3 linked regions of the Oryctolagus cuniculus genome follow. The protein of the gene in region 1 purifies or fractionates together with the protein of each later gene. This does not show direct contact. Links are inferred from orthologs where the notes say so. Each region holds a gene or a part of one and is shown on either strand. Other genes may lie near its edges. The genes, in order: MARCHF6, PLIN2 and SQLE.

Region 1 (3,647 bases):
AGAGAGAGAGAGAGAGAGAGAGAGAGAGAGAGTTCTTTCATCCACTAGTTCACTTCTTCCAGATCTCCCACATGGATGGAAGGTTCCAAGCTGCTTTCCAGAAACATCTGCAGGGAGCTGGATCTAAAGTGGAACATCCAGGTCTTGAACCAGCACCCATATGGGGTGCTGGCAGTGCAGGTGCACTGGACCCCTATTTATTTATTTATTTTAAAGTCAGAGTTACACAGAGAGAAGAGACAGAGACAGAGACAGAGAGAGAGAGAGAGAGAGAGAGATCTTCCATCCACTAATTCATTCCCCAGATGGTCACAACAGCCAGGGCTGGGCGAGGCTAAAGCCAGGAACTTTATCCTGGTCTCCGACATGAATGGCAGGGGCCCAAACACTTGGGCCATCTTCTGCCACTTTTCCCAGGCCATTAGCAGGGAGCTGGATCAGAAGTGGAACAGTTGAGACACAAACCAGAGTCTCCCACTATGCCACAAAGCTGGCACCCAAGTGCATGTTTTTAATGTTTTCTGTGCTATTCTTCTAAGTTTGCTATTAGAATACATTAAACTAGGGAAAAAAAAATCTCTGAGATGAAAAAATACAATCACTACTATATTAGTATCACCTGGCGAAATGATTATGTTGCAATATATAAATGTCTTAAAAAGAAGATCTGATTTGTATTACACGCACTTCCTGGGAGGAATTATCTTAAGAGACTGTACAGTCTCTCATATCTGTCACTTTACTGTACCTCATCTCTCCCCATACCCCATGTGAACAGAAATCACCCAGAAGGTGTTGGGCAACAGATATGGATGTGTCTGGGTACAGTCCTGTGTGGTCAAGTTCACTGAGTTATTCTGCGAAAAGCATCTACTCTGCCCAAACCTCTACTTTTCCATAGCACAAATGAGAGGGTTACCATTTCTTTTTTTTTTTTTTTGGACAGGCAGAGTGGACAGTGAGAGAGAGAGACAGAGAGAAAGGTCTTCCTTTGCCTTTGGTTCACCCTCCAATGGCCGCCGCTGCCGGCGCGCTGCAGCTGGCGCACCGTGCTGATCCGATGGCAGGAGCCAGGTACTTATCCTGGTCTCCCATGGGGTGCAGGGCCCAAGCACTTGGGCCATCCTCCACTGTACTCCCTGGCCACAGCAGAGAGCTGGCCTGGAAGAGGGGCAACTGGGACAGAATCCGGCGCACCGAATGAGACTAGAACCTGGTGTGCTGGCGCCGCAAGGCGGAGGATTAGCCTAGTGAGCCGTGGCACCGGCCACCATATACCATTTCTAAAGTGGACCAACAAGAAACAAACCACACAAACGAGATTAAAAAAAAATTAACTATAAAATATTTCATCTCGGGGCTGGCGCTGTGGCACAGCGGGTAAGGCCACCATCAGCATCCCATGTAGGTGCTGCTTTGAGTCCCAGGTGCTCCATTTCTGATTCAGCTCTCTGCTATGGTCTGGAAAAGCAGTAGAAAATGGCCCAAGTCCTTGAGCCCCTGCACCCACCTGGGAGACCCGGAAGAAGCTCCTGACTTCGGATTGGCACAGCTCCAGCCATTGCAGCCGACTGGGGAGTGAACCAGCAGATGGAAGATCTCTCTCTCTCTGCCTCTCTTTCTCTCTCTGTGTAACTCTGACTTTCAAATAAATAAATAAAACTTAAAAAAAAAAAAAGGCAAACAAGAGGCTGGCACAGCGGCATAGTGGATTAAGCTGCCGCCTGCAGTGCCGGCATCCCAAATGGTTCAAGACCCAGCTGCTCCACTTCCTGTCCAGCTCTCTGCTATGGCCTGGAAAAGCAGTAGAAGATAGCCCAACTCCTTGGGCCCCTGTACCCACGTGGGAGACCTGGAAGAAGCTCCTAGCTCCTGGCTTTGGGTCGGCTCAGCTCCGGCCATTGCGGTCAATTGGGGAGTGAACCAGTGGATGGAAGACCCCTCTCTCTCTCCCCCTCTCCCTCTCTCTGTGTGTAACTCTTTCAAATAAAATAAATAAATCTTTAAAAAAAAAAAAAAGCAAGCAAAGAAAAACATTTCATCCTTAAAATCTAGAGCTCATATATAATTACAATTTTTTAAAATACTTATGTGTATCTGCTCTCATCTCAATCACTTCTATCAAAAAAAGCACACCAGCTTATACTATACAATTCAGGAGAATGTTTTGATGCCACCCCCTCCTCCTCACATCTTTCAAAGAGAACAACATTCAGCCTTTGTTCTTTTGTATTCTGTTCCCACTGGATTTGCAGGCCTGCTTCTGTAGGCCCTGCACATTTCCATCACCAGTCTCAGTGGAGAATGCTCCACTTGATCAACAGCTTTATTTATTCATTTCTTATGAAAGTGAGGAGATAGGAAATGTGCCTTTGTTCCTCACTATTACACCAGCATACACAGCACAGTATCTGGTATACAGCGAATACCTAGTCATTATCTGGGGACGATTGACCTTAAGAAATATATCAAATATTAATCTGTTTTCATCATATTCATATCAACAAGGACTTGATCATTCCAAAAAAGCTGACCAGCAAAGGTATTCATCTAGTAAATGAATTAGAATCATAAAGGATGCTCCCTGTAATGCTATACTTGAAGTGCCTGCTTCAAAGCCATTTTACATATTTGATCTGCAAACCATACCCTTTGGATAGTTCTAGTATGAAGCTCATACACAAAATTCTAAGAGCATACTACAAGATGACTATACATATAAGCAAATTAAAGAGTGCTCTCATTTAATTTTTCCTCAATCTATCATCTTTCACACTTACAACTTGTCAATTAGAGACAAACAACTGGAAACAGTTTAAAGCAATCCAAACTCCCCTTCTAGTTAGTCCCTTAGAAAAAAACAGAGGATAAGAGTTATTTAGGAAATCACCAGAGCCTCTGAAGCATGACTAGTGATCAAGGCAAAAGGCCCTTTCAAAAACACACAGTCAACATTTCCACGTGGGACTCACCTCTCTGAGTAACAGAATGAAAGAGGCAAAGTAGAACACATACACCATCCCCACAAGCCAATGCAGGAACATGGTTGTGCCTGGGGCTGACTGAAAGCTCAATTCTCGATCCTTCAGAGTAGCATCAAACATTTCCTAAGCCAAAACAGAAGAAGTGAGAGAAATTTGTACCACCTACATTTGCCAAATTAACATTCCATCCTCCACCCAGGAAGTAAATAAAATCACTACACATGTAGTGTACGATATTCTAGGACTGCAGGTCTCTCAGCGGCATTTCAAAGTGTCACAGAATCACATGTAAGATTGGATACTACTTCAAAGAGGTAGATAACTCCTTAAAACTTACCAACAGTGAACAAGAGCTTTATTAATACTATTACAGTAAAAGGAGTAGTTTTGATTAATTTAACCTTCTTCTCTTGGTTATGGGTCTGTGCTCCTAAGAAGTTTCAATACTAAGCAACCTCAGAATCAAAGGCAGTATTTCTACAGACAAAATGTTTCTGCAAAATCAAACTGTTTATCAGTGAAAGTCATTGAAGATTATAATCAAGACTGAGCATCTTAAACAGGATTAAATTTATTACTACAAAGTTATTCTCTTCATCAAATTATACTTTTTTTGTATATAATCTCTTACTATTATCATAAAATGTAAAAGGGCAAAATGGA
Region 2 (4,383 bases), on another chromosome or scaffold:
AGGGAGAAAACAGTAATTTTTCTTGCTAGGAGCCTCTAGAAATTAATTCAATCCTGTATAAAGAACTTTTTAAAAAAATATTTATTTATTTATTTATTTATTTGAAAGGCAGAGTTACAGATGCAGATGCAGAGGCAGAGAGAGGGAGAGAGAGAGAGAGGTCTCCCATCTGCTGGTTCACTCCCCAAATGGCCACAATGGCCGGAGCTGGGCCTATCCAGAACCAGGAGCCAGGAGCTTCTTCCAGGTCTCCTGCATGGGTTCAGGAACCCAAGCACTTGAGCCATCTTCTACTGCTTTCCCAGGCACATTAGGAGGGAGCTGGATTGGAAGTGGAGCAGCTAGGACTCCAGCTGGTGCCTAAATGGGATGCTGGCACTGCAGGAGGAGGCTTTACTTGCTATGTCACAGTGCCAGCCCCTAAAGGACCTATTCTTAATTGGTCTGTTCGGAGACTTAAATACGACAAGCAGGGACAACTGTTTGGTACAGCGTTTAAGACCCTGCTTAGAGTACATCCCATACAGAGCGCTTTGGTTGCAGTCCCAGCTCGCTTGTGATTCTAGCCTCCTGCTAATGTGCGCCCTGGGAGGCAGGGGGGTGGCTCAAGTCCTGGCTCCCTACAACCCAAATGGGAGACCTGGATGAAGTGTCCAGCTGCAGGCTTTGGCTTAACTCAGTCCAGGCCATCTGGAGAGTGAACCAGAGCATGGGAGTTCTCTCTCAAACAGTATCCCTGTGCGTGCTACACTGGTTAAGCAACCGAGCTGCATGCTGAGGTCACCTGGTACCTAGCATTGTTGCCTACCCCCTCACTCTAGCTCTCTGGCCTGTCATTAGATTGTCCTCAGCTGGGGAGACCCAAGCCCTACAACTTGCTTGGGAGATCGATCAGAAACTACCGTCTAGGGAAGAAATGCGCTCAGCACTGTTATGGCTCCGGGTGGTCGCGTAACTTTTGTGCTCAAATAATCTGATTCAGGTGTCTGCATTTTACACAAGAGGAAACTAGGAACGCAGAGCTGGCCATCTTGCATAGAGTTAGGCAGCTATCACTTCGTAGAGATTTGGGGTAAGACCAGAAGGGGTCTTATTAGTATTCGTAGGCTTTTTCTGTTAATTTCAATTCAAGGCTCCATCAGAAATCAACGTTTAAGGGACGGACTTTAAAGCCAAAGAGCAGTGAAACAGGAATCTATAATTCTGTAATTCGTTTAGAATTTTGCGTAACACTAGGAAGTATTTATTCGCTTAAAACAAACAAACAACAAAAAAAAAAACAAAAAACCCCCAGCAGCTTAGAAGTCATTGTTCACATTCCGAAAGCGTTCTCATCAACACGTGTTAACCCGCCTTTCCCGAAATCCTAACGCCTGCGTGGCAGTCATCCACTTTTGCACCTGGCTCTCAGAATCCTCTACCCCGGGACACGGCCCCCGCCTCCGGGCAGAGCCCCTCCCCCGGGCTGGGATCCCGCCCCCAGGGAGGTCAGGGCCCCTCCCCTAGAATGGCCGCTGGCCGGCCGCGGAGAGGGGAAGGGCCGGCCGCGGGTCACGTGCTGCGTGGTGCGGCTGGCGCCGCCCGCGGCGGGTACTTAAGGCGGTGGCCGCCCGCAGGCCGCGCTCTGCACGTCCGAGCTGCCCGCGGGATTCGACTGCTCGCCGCGCCCATCGGTGGGTGCCCCCGCCGCGCTGAATGTTGCTGGGGGGAGGGGGGAATTCCTCGGTTCTGGGGACCTGCCCCGACCCGCCGGGCTCCGGGCTGGACGGCGATGGCTGCGGGCCATGCGGCGGGGCAGGGGCGGGCTTCCGAGCTGTCCTTCTGTGAGGCGTCTTTCCTGCGGGCAGCTTCGGTGCTGCTGCAGGGCTGTGGAGCAAATACTTGTGTCCGACCGGACGTGATTTAAAGGGAACACGCTTTGGAAAATCGGTCTCAGGCATGGTGTGGTGGGGCGTGCAGTGACTGTAGGGCTAATGATCATGGCGCCCAACTTCCCCCTCTGGGCAGCGCCTTCCCGTTTCTTGGGGACCTGGGACCCTGGTGGTGGGGGCTGGGCTGGCGCGGCAGTGGTGGGCCCCGGCCGGCCAGGTGCTTTTCCTCGCCAGCTTGGAGGGTTGGCCTTTTGTGTGGGCCGTGGGGGGAATCCTAAGTTACCCTGAAACGCTCGGTGAAAAGTTTCTCAATTCCTCGGACCGCCTCCTTCGTCTTGTGCTTGGTGTCCCTGAACTCGTTTTGGTGCTTTCATGAGGGAGGTAAAATTAAGTAACCCTCGGATTGCTCCAACTTCGTCTTCCCGACACCCTGCTGAGTGCTCGCTGACTTAACATGGGTTTTAACTTGAGAATCTCTTTTGTGGAACAGCTGTTCTAGTGTCCTGGTGGAGAATTCAGAGTAGGAGGTCAACGACTTCGCTTTTCTCCGCTGACCTCTTTTTCTGTTAAACAGTTTACATTTAAGGCCTGAAACCTTGCCGGGGTTAGGGATAAAGGGGAGGTGGAAGTCCAAGATCATCTGGAAATATTTTCTACTTGAGCTTGGTTTGTACTTGAACATTTTCTTGGGCTGGGAATGAATCAAGGGAGTCTTATCCTAGCGTCCTGAAATAAGTATCTCTCCCATAGATTCCTTTCTCCAGGAAGAAAAAATGGCATCCGTTGCAGTGGACCCACAATTGGTATGAGTTTTATTTAATTTTTATTTCTTATTTGAGAGGCAGAGAGCTCCCATCTACTGGCTCCCTCCCCAAGTGCCTGAGTAGCCCCCCAGCTAAGGCTAAAGCCAGATGCTCAATCTACATGGTTGGCAGGAACCTCAGGGCTTGAGCCATTACTGCTGCCTCCCAGGGTCTGCATTAGCTGCAAGCTGCAGACAGAAGCTGGAGCCAGCTGTCAAAGCCAGGTACTCCTAGGCCAAATGCCTGTCCCAGGTCTTAATTTTGAATAGGTGTTTTGTGACTGTTTTCTTCCCCAGTGTTTTGAGAAGTTAACAACCAAGGGCCGGCGCTGCGCTGTAGCGGTTAAGCTGACAGCCACCCGCAGTGCCAGCATCCCAAAGGGACGCTGGTTCGAGACCAGGCTGTTCTACTTCTGATCCAGCTCTCTGCTATGGCCTGGGAAAGCAGTAGAAGATGGCCCAAGGCCTTGGGCCTCTGCACCCGCGTGGTTGACCTGGAAGAAGCTCCTGGCTTCAGATCAGCGCAGCTCTGGCCATTTCGGCCAGTTGGGGCGTGAACCAGGAGATGGAAGACTTCTCTCTTTTTCTCTCTCTGCTTCTCTCTCTGTGTAACTCTGACTTTCAAATAAATAAATAAATCTTTAAAAAATATTAAAAAGTTAACAACCTCCTCTTTCCCTTTGGTTGCAGAGTGTGGTGACTAGGGTCGCCAACCTTCCCTTGGTGAGCTCTGCATATGACCTCGTGTCCTCAGCTTATGTCAATACAAAGGATCAGTATCCCTACTTGAAGTCTGTGTGTGAGATGGCAGAGAAGGGTGTGAAGACCATGACCTCCGTGGCCATAACAAGTGCTCTGCCCATCTTCCAGAAGCTAGAGCCACAAAGTGAGTTCTCATTTTTCCCTTCAACATTCGGTCCAAGGAACTGTTCAGGGATGAGGGATTCTCTGCCCTTCCGGAAGCAATACTGACTGTACTAGCAACTGTTGGGTGACCCTCGGACCTGGAAGGCCTGATGTTCACGATACTTTAAAAAAAAAAAAAAAAAAATCCCCAGAGATGTTTCTATGTTGGTAACCAAGACCATAAGGTTAGCATCAGAACTGAAATGAAATACTGTCTTGAGCCCACACACTGGATATAAACTTTTTTTTTAGTAATTTTTATTGCGGTAAAATTAACGTACCATACAGTTTGCCTATATAAAGTGTACAATTCCATTGTTACTATTTGTGTAGAATTGTACAATCAGTACCACTGTTAACCTCCCTGTTAAAGAAATCTCATACCAAAGTTTCTGTTTGGGATGATGAAAGGCTCTGGAAATGAATGTTAGTGATGATTGCCAACATCATGAAGGAATTTAATGCCTGTTACACGTAAAAGTGGTGAAGATGAGTTTATATTTTGACTGTTTTATCAAAATAAAACAGACGTCATGCACTTTACCAACCGTTCCCCATTTCCTTGCAGCCTCCCCTGGGCAACTACTAACATACTTTCTGTCTTTATAGACTTCCTATTTCAGACATTTCATATAAGTAAAATTATAAAAGTGGTCTTTTGTAACTGATTTTGTTTACATTTTTAAGGTTTATACTTACATCAGTACATTATCTCTTTGTGTGATAATCTGTTTAGGTAAATCATATTTAATTCATCAGTTGATGGGCATTGGTATATTCTGCTTTTTGGAGATTATGCTTTTG
Region 3 (3,647 bases), on another chromosome or scaffold:
AGAAAATAAATGTTGGAACTATCTAAAAGGTAAATACTGTGTAACATGAAATCAAAACAGAAATTGTGATTCTGGTAAATGCACAGTATATATTTGAAGAACTGAAAAATAATAGACTTTGTCCTGTAGTAAGCCTTTGAAGCCCCTTATGAGTATTTATTATATTTGGCTGGTATGACTATCTTTTTTTTTTTTTTTTTAAAGATTTTATTTATTTGAAAGGCAGAGTTAAAGAGAGAGTGGAGTCTTCCATCTGCTGGTTCACTCCCCAGATGGCCGCAATGGCCGGATCTGGGCCAGGCCAAAGCCAGAAGCTTCATCTGTGTCTCTCATGTGGGTGCAGGGGCCCAAACACTTGCGTCATCTTCCATTGCTTTCCCAGGCGCATTAGCACAGAGCTGGATTGGACTGAGCAGCCAGGACTCAAATCAGTGCCCATATGGGATGCCGGTCCTGCAGATTGGGGTTTTAACCAGCTGCACCACAGTGCCAGCCCCTGGCTGGTATGATTTTCCAGAGATAGCTATATAACAGAATTTTCTAAATATCATGTTTGAAAAAAGGAACATATATTTAATTTCATTGGGATATCACACATTTTTATTTAACCAGTATTTTGATATAATTGATTTTTGAAATAGTTTTATTTTATTTATTTGAAAGAGTTACAGAGAGAGGTGGAGACAGAGAGAGGTCTGCCATCCACTGGTTCATTTCTCAAATGGCTGCAACAGCTGGAGGTGACCAGTCCGAGGCCAGGAGCTTCAGTCATGTCTCCCATGAGGGCGCAGGGGCCCAAGAACCTGGGCCATCTTCCACTGCTTTCTCAAGCGCATTAGCCGGGAGCTGGATCGGCAGTGCAGCAGCCAGGACTCGAACCAGCACCCATATGGGATGCCAGCGCTGTAGGCCAGTGCGTTAACTGGCTGTGCCACAGCGTCGGCCCTGATATCATTGATTTTTATATGTGATCTGGGTTTAAAAATGTTTCACTTGGTTTGATAATGTTTGGGGTCTAGCTTTTGCCCAAGATGCAACAGTCTGGTGTATTGGTATATTAATAGTATAATTTAAGCCTAATTATACTATACTTTCCAAATTTGGAAACGTATTTTTTTTTTTTTTACAGCACAGAAAAGGAACCAGTATTTCCGAAACAACCTTAATAGGAGCAGCTACCTCTACATCCACATCTTGTCAAAATGATCCAGAAGTTATTATCGTGGGATCTGGTATACTTGGCTCTGCATTGGCAGCAGTGCTTTCCAGAGATGGAAGAAAGGTGACAGTAATTGAGAGAGATTTAAAAGAGCCTGACAGAATAGTTGGAGAATTTCTGCAGCCAGGTGGTTATCATGTTCTCAAAGACCTTGGTCTTGGAGGTAGGTTTATCTTGATTTTTGGGAGAGTTAGAGAATAAGCAAGTGTTCTTTGCATAGGATAAACTATAAGTAATAAAAAGACATTTCAGTTTATTTCTGTTTGTAAAATTTACTGAGTTACCAATAGATTAGCATGAAAATAAGAGCAAAGGAGAAAACAGGATGTGAGGAGATATTAAATAGACTTAAGGAAATAATAATGAAATGTCTAAAAATTGTAATGGTCAAAAATGAGTATTGGAACACTCCTTGAATGAAGGCATGAAATTTAGTGAAAAGTGAAGGGAAGTATGATTTGTAGAATATATATTATATACTTGTTACAGCATTATTTCATTGAATCTGTTATTTAAGCATCATTAATCATCAATGCCTTTTTTAAAAAAATTATTTATTGGGGTGACAGAGACAGAGTTAGTGGTTCACTCCCCAAATTACTGCAAGAGCCAGGCTGGGCTGGGCTGGGCTGGGCGGAAGCTGGGAGCCAGGAACTCAGTCCAGGTCTCCCGTGGTGAAACAGCAGCCAATGACTTAGCTATCAGCACTGCTCCTGTGGATCACATTGGAAGCAAGCTGGGTCAGGAGCCAGTGCTGAGAGCAGTATCCATGTACTCAAATGTGGGTGGCAGGTATCTTAACCGCTAGGCTAAGTGCCTGCCTTAGAACCAGTGCTTTTTCAGCACCAATTGTTTATTTAGAAAATACGTATTCACTACCTACTTTGGTACTGGGTACTAAGAGTCTGTTGATAAACTAGACAGATAAACTCTATTCTTGAGAACAGAGCTCAAAATTTACTGAGGCTATGAGGTGAGAATGAGCTTGTTAGGTGTGTGTGGTAGGAAGTATGATGTATCAACTAGAAGCCTTCCATGCTAGAACTATAGTTTGAGTTTGAATACCACCTCTTAAAAGGTTTATGACTTTTGAATGCCACTTAAGAGGTGTGTGACCTTGCCTAGGTAACTTAACCTCCTTTTTTGTTCATTTATTTATAAAATGGGCTTAGTAAAAGAATCTGCCTTTCATGTAAATGGGTTCACATATATAATGCATCTGTAATAGTGCTTGACACGTATTTCGTATTCGCTGCTTTGTGTAAGGAACTGAAAAGGAGAACAATACAAAACTGGAAAGTAGTAGATGATGGAGAAGGAAGAGAGGCTTGAGATTAGGTTGGAAAGGTGGGCGGCAGCCAGATCATGCAGGCCTTGTTAGGCAGTGGAGCAAGAGTGTGACATGATCTTATTTTACCTTGAAAATAGTGGTTTCAAGCTTTTAACAGCTACTCACAGTGACAATACATTTTACATTCTCAGTACATTCAGTACATGTGCCCATCTGACAGATATTTCCTTTACTTCTTAAATACTTGTCATGATTTCACCTGATTATACACTTGGCAATTTGAAATTCATTTCACAGCTCACTATTAAGTCAAACTCTGGCATTTGTGGAATGCCATTTACATGAATATAGTATGGAAAATACACTGTAAGATTGTGGTAGTGGGCAGGAAGCAATGTTAGGAGTCTAGTGAGGACTAATTACTGAGTCTAAATGACAGATGGTGGTGGTTTTAATTAGCATGATAGCAGATATATAGAGAAGTAGACAGATTCATGATGAAATTAACAATTCCTGCTCAGGAATTGGCATGAGATGTCAGGAAGAGGATGCTATATCAGAAGTGATTTCTAGGTTTTGACTTAAGCAACTTATAAATGGTGATACCATTTGCTGAGAGTGAGAGAATATGGAGGTACTGGAGGGGAACAGGCGTGGGGGAACTTTGGGGAAGAACCTATTGGGATATCTAAGTGTAGATGTCAAATTGGATGTAAATCTGGAGTGCAGAGGAGTGGTTTGGACTGGCTGGAGTTAAAGTTTTCACAGTTGACAGCATGTTTGTGGTGCTTAAAAGCCATAGCAATGATCAAGACCCCAAGGGAAGTATAGGGAGAAGATAGAATAAATTAAGTCTTGGGAAATGCTGATATTTAAAGATTGTGTAGAAGAGGAGCATGCAGAAGAGACCGAGAAGGAACTGGCTGATGGTAGAAGAAAGCCAGAAGTGTTTGGTGTCACTTAATCTAAGAAAGGAGAATCTTTCTGTTCAGAGGAAATGGGTATGTTAAGAAAGGACAGCTATGACAAGGTTTGCTAATGAAGGGTTTGGTAAGATGAGTATAGAAAAATGACCACTGGGTTTGGCAGTTTATTTTTTAAGATTATTTATTTGAAAGGCAGAGTTACACAGAGAGA

What was found.
Region 2: the proteins of MARCHF6 (region 1) and PLIN2 purify together in Homo sapiens (affinity purification with western blotting; 3 studies listed by BioGRID). This does not show direct contact. The link is inferred for Oryctolagus cuniculus from reciprocal best matches to the Homo sapiens genes MARCHF6 and PLIN2.
Region 3: the proteins of MARCHF6 (region 1) and SQLE purify together in Homo sapiens (affinity purification with western blotting; 4 studies listed by BioGRID and IntAct, with this or other methods). This does not show direct contact. The link is inferred for Oryctolagus cuniculus from reciprocal best matches to the Homo sapiens genes MARCHF6 and SQLE.

What each region holds. Positions count from the first base shown.
Region 1 is NC_091445.1:39,765,462-39,769,108, reverse strand, and holds part of MARCHF6 (E3 ubiquitin-protein ligase MARCHF6), read right to left. Parts: intron 3,108-3,647; coding exon 2,973-3,107; intron 1-2,972. UniProt on the Homo sapiens protein: Endoplasmic reticulum membrane-associated E3 ubiquitin ligase that plays a critical role in mitigating endoplasmic reticulum stress, the regulation of cholesterol and lipid homeostasis, and ferroptosis.
Region 2 is NC_091432.1:182,106,600-182,110,982, reverse strand, and holds the start of PLIN2 (perilipin-2), read left to right. Parts: upstream 1-1,496; 5' UTR 1,497-1,507; coding exon 1,508-1,673; exon of another isoform or gene 1,674-1,936; intron 1,937-2,621; coding exon 2,622-2,674; intron 2,675-3,363; coding exon 3,364-3,559; intron 3,560-4,383. UniProt on the Homo sapiens protein: Structural component of lipid droplets, which is required for the formation and maintenance of lipid storage droplets.
Region 3 is NC_091437.1:150,643,842-150,647,488, forward strand, and holds part of SQLE (squalene monooxygenase), read left to right. Parts: intron 1-1,129; coding exon 1,130-1,382; intron 1,383-3,647. UniProt on the Homo sapiens protein: Catalyzes the stereospecific oxidation of squalene to (S)-2,3-epoxysqualene, and is considered to be a rate-limiting enzyme in steroid biosynthesis.